2 linked regions of the Danio rerio genome follow. The protein of the gene in region 1 purifies or fractionates together with the protein of each later gene. This does not show direct contact. Links are inferred from orthologs where the notes say so. Each region holds a gene or a part of one and is shown on either strand. Other genes may lie near its edges.

Region 1 (3,800 bases):
ATGCTCTGTTGTAGTTGGCGGGACCAAGGTCTTTGTCATGCCTGGTGGAATGATGAAAAGCAATGGCAAGCTGGTGGAGCTGATTGAAAAAGTCAAGCCTGAAATCAGAACTCTTATGGAAAAATGCAACACAGTACGTTGATAGTCTTGTGCCATCTTTCACTCAAGCGTGTTAGGTAAATGATTAAATAATTTTCCCGTGCTCTTCTAGGTCAAGATGTGGGTTCAGTTGTTAATCCCTAGAATAGAAGATGGCAACAATTTTGGTGTCTCAATTCAGGTATGCTGCCACATTAAATATTTTCCACTGTCTGTGACCTTTGGACTTATCAGTGAAAGTCAAATGCAGAAGTTGCTAGCCACTGACCTGCAATTGTGATTGTCGTTACTGTCCACAGGAGGAGACGGTTGCTGAACTCAGAACAGTGGAAGGGGAAGCAGCATCTTTCTTAGACCAGATATCCAGGTGCTTCACTCTAAATCCATATTAATGGCAGACAACGGCTTGCTTTTGAATTTTATTCATATTAAAAAAAAAAATCCTTATATTTTTTTTCCAGGTACTATATCACAAGGGCAAAGCTGGTTTCCAAAATAGCAAAATACCCTCATGTTGTAAGTCATCATTACACTTACAGACTAGCATTTATGTCAGGTCTATAATATGTTTTATTATATTTAAGATAATCTCATGTTATTGGATGTTTAGGAGGATTATCGCCGCACAGTGACAGAGATTGATGAGAAGGAATACATCAGCCTCAAGATTATAGTGTCAGAACTGCGAAATCAATACGTAAGTACTGCTATACTAGTTGATGAATAATTATGCAAAATGTTCTAAACACTGTAGAAAGTGATCTAATCAATATGTCATGGAAACATAGTTTATGATGAACTCATGATTAAGTCTATTTCTCTAAATGTATAAATGTATATTTATTCAGTTTTTATCATCATTTTAGTAATATAATTAAATATGCAAGTGCTTAGAAAATGTGTGTACAATAGTTTAAGTAATATTTTCTGTCTTGGTAGATATTAGTGGTGTAACGCATCACAAGTCTCATGGTTCAGATCACATTAGGATTTTTTTTGTCACAGATCGGACCTTTTTTCAGGTCAGACAAAAAGGAGAGGAGACAAATGTCAGTTGCTTTCCATTTATTACAAAAACAGTAATGCAAGACACTTTTGGTTTTAACAAACAGAACCTAATAATCAGCTGAATTAAAATAATTGGTAAAATATTCAGTACTGTGAAAAACTGAAACGGTTTCTACAAATATTGCTGATAACACTAAATGTGTAAATATAACATTATATTTTTTACAACCCATATTTATTTTTAGTCTCATTTTCAATAAATGATTCAGTTATTCACTCATAAAACGTCATGTTTCATTGCTAGACGATCATTTTTGAAGAATTGTTCAGTTGCATATTTTTTAATGGCTGGTTGTCGCCACCTATTGGTTAAATTATGTAATTGCTGCCTACAACTTTCATTTGTTGAATGCGTTTGACAATGATTTTAATCTTTACCATAAACATCACTGGTTTCATTCAAACTATAAACCGTTCTCCCAGTACTTCTGTCTCATTTCACTGTTTGTAGCTTCATAATTGGAAGGATTAATAAATATTTGCAAATCACCATCATTTATATATTATGTTGCGTGATTGTTGAGATACCAATCCTTTACTGATTAATCATGCTTAAACTTAAACTGAATGCATTAATGCAGGCTAAACAAGTAGTAACAGAAAACACCTTCAATGAGACTCACCTCAGCCCGAACAACCTACCACAACTTCTTTCGCCATCATTATATTTTACAGAAAAGCCTAAATGCTTTCATATATGTGATTTGAATGACGTGAGAGGCGACCTTTCTGTGATCGTAACAAATTTAGGATTGGATCAGAGTGGGGCCAGGTAAGATCACTCACTCTGATCCCCCGAGCTCTGAGGGTTGTGGAAATTCCAAATTGATCCAAAACAAACAATTCTAATTGGCTTAAGTTTGGCAAGGAAAACTCGGCACATGCATCAACCAGCAGAACTTGGAAAGTTTAATAAAAATAAATGGATAAATATAAGATTAATCTACCAGTATAAAAAGGTACTAATCCACAGGCCATGTGTGTTCCAAACCATGGGTTGTGATCCGTATGAATCATGGATCAAACGTGATTCGTTACACTGGATATTTTGTGAGACTTTTTGGTGCTTTGTTTACCAAACAAGTAGTACTAATTGGATTTGCATTGTAAACCTTAAGTTAAAAAGTTATCTTATTTCATGTGTTAATGTTTTAGACACTATGTTCCTAAAAATCATTCTGCATAAATCTATTTTTAATCAATTTTTTTGTAGAAAAATATATGCAGGAATAGCAAAAAATGGTTATTTTGATTCCACTTGAGGCAGTGGTATAATCTTTTACAGTGTAGATTGTGATGACTTTAATGAGCTAAACTTGTCCTGCAGGTAACATTACATGACATGATCCTGAAGAACATCGAGAAGATCAAGAGGCCGAGGAGCAGCAATACTGACGCCCTGTACTAAGACCCCCGTCCCCTTTCCTTCCCGGCCCGATTCTCCACCATTTGGAGCTCGTGTTAGCTTTCAGGTGGTTCTAGAATAGTTCCGTCACCCATTATGACCAGGCCAAGAGACGCACCACTCGATCGGGCCTGATAGAACATGCCACTTAAGATAGAATTGTAAAATATTGTCACTATTTTAAACCCTTCAAAATAAGCCCTTTTTTGTTTTGTTTCTTAGCGGACAGTGTAAATGTATAAAGGCAGAGCCTGAACATGCGTCGCAAAGAAACTGTCTCCGATTTGTTTTTCTTTATTTAATTAAAGAAATACTTCAATCGTGAGTTTCTTTTTTTTTATCATTTGCAAAGCCAAAGTCCATGTAGTTCAGTTTTTGAATCCACTTCTAAGCCTCTCTAGGGGTCGCGTGATTGATGGATCTACCCTTGATGGTCGGTTTCTCCGGTCGAGAAGCTCTTATTGATGCTGTATTTCACTTAAGCGTTTTGCGTTGTTCATCTGAAATGTACGTGTAGGCTAAAGAGTGGAAGCGAGGCAGTTCATGTGCAAGATTTTATTTGGAGTGTGAGCTGACAATTATTACATGGAGTATTATATTTTCATCTGAAACGACTGATTCATCAAATCCTGGAAGCTTTTTATTGTTCTTTTTGTCCAGTTTTAAGAGTGATACATTTTGCTGAATAAACTATTGTTTTTACAATACATTCAAGGCATGTCATTAACTGCTGTTGTGCTTTTTTTGTGAATAATTGTTTAGTTTGTTGTGTGCTGCATGTATTCAAACAACCAAAAAAAAACAAGCGTAAGATGTAAAATTTCGTTAATTAGCTTTTTGCTAACAAAAAGAAACTTGTATGATGGGTATTTTTCTCTAGGAGTTATTCACTACCTGACAAAAGTCTTGTCGCCTAGCCAAGATTTAGGAACAATAAATATTAACTTGACTTCTACATGACTATTTGGTATCAGAAGTGCTTTATATAAAAGGCAAAGGCCTCTAGATTAAGCTTATTTTACCACAATGTCTTGATTTTTAATTATTTAATTAGGACAGTAAGGTCTGACTTTGCTTGGACAAAAGTCTTGTCACCTAACAGAAATAATGTACAGTATAGAATATAAAGTCATGGTGCAGTGGTAAAAGAAAGAATATTGTATATGACCGCCATGAGCTTGGAGGACTGCATCCACACATCTGCAATGACTCAAATAATTTTATAAGT
Region 2 (2,832 bases), on another chromosome or scaffold:
TTTTACCAGATGCCGTATTGGGCATACGAGAATTACACATGGATTTTTGCTCCAAGGTGAAAACCCCACTCAGTGTTTGTGCTGCAAAACTCCTATTACTGTAAAACATATTTTACTGGACTGTCCTGCTTTTACTGATTCCAGAAGGACTTTTTATGAAATTAACTCTTTTAAGGAAATTTTTGACAAAGTGGAACCAGAAAAGATTTTAGAATTTTTATCATGTATTAACACAAAAAATCTTATTTAATTTATGTTTTATTTTGTTTGTTGATTTTTAAATTGTATTATTTATTGTTGAAAGATTCCTGCCATGAAGATAGCCTTGGTTGCTGACATGGCAATAAATAAAAAATACATTACATTACATTCTTTTTGCACTATACTGTTCTTTATCTGCACAACTCTGGTTTACTTTGCACTCATTTGCTATATGCCCTTAATGTCACTGTATTGTTTACAATTTTTATTACCTATGTATATTTTTAGACCACATTTATGTGCAATGTATATACTGTAAATTTTCTTTTTCTTAAACTGTACTATTTTTTTATACATATTTTTTATATTAATGTTAAGCAACTTGGGTCTGAGAGTAACGCAATTTTGATTCTCTATATGTCTTGTACATGTGGCTGAATTGACAATAAAGCTGACTTTGACTTTGACTTAATTTCGGGTGTTTCATTCTTATTTTGTTGACTTTAACTGCAGTTTTACTTTCATTCAGGAACATTTCATGCATGCACGCGTGACAAACAAGATATTGGATGCGAGGAACTGCTGGAAGGGTGTAGTTTTAATTAAATACTATACCGCATGCCTTACGGGAGAAAAAAACTCTGCATTTCTCTGTAGATACAGACACTCACTCGGTAGGTGCAGAGAATAGCATCAAACAGCCGTGTGTGTATAGACTATCCTTTCACAAAATGTGACAAACCATATGCGGGGGAAATCCTACACGACAGTAATAGTTTGATTAAGGTGTTTACATTCTAAGAGCTAGTAGTTTTAGTTAATGGTTTGTTAATACAGTGAATTGTGGCCTAAACTAAAGGGTTACAGAATTTGAGCGATGTGCATCAACTCTACAATTTTGGTGAATCCTTCATGTTTTAAATTTTGTTTTATTCAGGCATAATGGTAAAGAAAAAGCGTTTGAGGCTTATAGCCGAGATGGCACGGAAGATCCGAGCTTACCGTGAGCTGAAGAACCGGCCCCGGGACTCTCAGCGCTATGCTTTAGACTACGACACCATGACGCGGCCCTTTTCTGGAAAAAAGCTGCCGGTGTTGGCCTGGAAGGATGTGCAGAGAGAAACCCGCCTCTTCTCTTTACTGTCCGGCATGCGCATGTTTGGTTTGGGTCGACTCTTCACGCGCAAATCCTGGCTGGACGAGCACACGGAGCCCTGCTATTGGAAAATAACCAAAGTCAAGGTGGACTACACAGCAGAGGTACAGTTGGGGTTTGACATTAAATCAAATAAACACATGCAAATTATTATACACATTATAAAAAACACTTTTTTGTTTTTTTTCCTTTAGAACATGGATCACGGGAAAGCATGGGGCGTCCTAACATTTAGAGGTAAGACGAGATGTTTTCTGTAAATAACTAATACACAATCAACTCCACATTTTCCAATAACACTAGCTGATTATATCATATATTTTGAGGAAATCTGAATAGAAACGAGACATTGTATGTCTATTTCAGGTAAAGAGGAGCCCAAGGAGCGTGAGGTGGACAAGGTGATGTACCATGACTGGCGACTGGTGCCCAAACATGAAGAGGAGGAGTTCAGGCGCTGTGAGCCTGTCCCGGAGCCTGCTGCCCGGTCAGTGCGGTACCCTCCCCTTCTGCGGGCCATGATACTGGCACAGCAGGCCAAAGAGCAGGGGGTGGAGGTCAGCACTCTTCCAGAGCCCCTGCTGCCCCTCAAACGAGTGGTCACGCTCAATCAGGAGTACTTCAGGAGACAGGATGAGCTGAAGAAGCAGGAGGGAACACCTGTCTGAGGGGTAAAGGTCACGCTTTGATGGGAACCACTTCTGCTCCTAGGCACTTTTTAAAGAGCACTGCTGGCTGTAAAGACTGACTTGTGTTTGATGCTGTTTTATTCTCACTAAAATATAGCTAGGTTCATCGTACATCTTCATGTGGATATGCAGCTCATGAAGAAGGAAAAGGAGGAGATTTGACACAGTTGGATCAAGGTGACCAAACTCAAAAGCATAAGACTCTTTTTGTTTTTTGTCACAAAATCATGTGTCTAATATTTGTTTAATAGCAAATTAAATGTGTAAAATGATATTGGTGTTTTATTGTAGTTTGTAAATATGCATCAAAACTAGGGTTGCACAATATACCATTACAGCACTGATATCGCAATATGCAATGTCCAGTCTGAATTATAGTTGACCAGGAGCTACAGAATTGTATTTAATCACTGTATTTATATGGAATTTATATGATTTATGCAAGAAAACATTTCTTACTTAGAATTGATGTCTTGTTTGTAGTCCAAACATCTACATTTCAAAGTGAAAACAAGATTATTTCACTTGCCCACTGGCAGATAATTTCCTCAAAACAAGCAAAGAAAAAAGCCTCTTCCTTTTCACTTATTTTGTTCTGATGGTGAAAACTAAACAATATTTTTACTTGCTCTAAGATTATTTTTATATTCGGACTAGAAACCAGACAAAAAGTAAGAAAAGCTTATTATTTATTATTATTTTTTTGCATTGTGATTATTCAATTACTCAACCTGACTCCCCAGAAAGCCGTCCAATTATAATATTCAAACTATCTTCTGAAAATAT

Evidence for each region.
Region 2: the proteins of psme3 (region 1) and mrps34 purify together in Homo sapiens (co-immunoprecipitation; 3 studies listed by BioGRID and IntAct, counting the BioPlex papers as one, with this or other methods). This does not show direct contact. The link is inferred for Danio rerio from reciprocal best matches to the Homo sapiens genes PSME3 and MRPS34.

Annotation. Positions count from the first base shown.
Region 1 is NC_133187.1:29,020,356-29,024,155, reverse strand, and holds the end of psme3 (proteasome activator complex subunit 3), read left to right. Parts: intron 1-14; coding exon 15-133; intron 134-211; coding exon 212-280; intron 281-398; coding exon 399-466; intron 467-560; coding exon 561-615; intron 616-709; coding exon 710-796; intron 797-1,149; exon of another isoform or gene 1,150-2,494; coding exon 2,495-2,575; 3' UTR 2,576-3,279; downstream 3,280-3,800. UniProt on the Homo sapiens protein: Subunit of the 11S REG-gamma (also called PA28-gamma) proteasome regulator, a doughnut-shaped homoheptamer which associates with the proteasome. 11S REG-gamma activates the trypsin-like catalytic subunit of the proteasome but inhibits the chymotrypsin-like and postglutamyl-preferring (PGPH) subunits.
Region 2 is NC_133178.1:14,674,733-14,677,564, reverse strand, and holds the end of mrps34 (small ribosomal subunit protein mS34), read left to right. Parts: intron 1-1,138; 5' UTR 1,139-1,143; coding exon 1,144-1,461; intron 1,462-1,551; coding exon 1,552-1,594; intron 1,595-1,723; coding exon 1,724-2,025; 3' UTR 2,026-2,296; downstream 2,297-2,832. UniProt on the Homo sapiens protein: Required for mitochondrial translation, plays a role in maintaining the stability of the small ribosomal subunit and the 12S rRNA that are required for mitoribosome formation.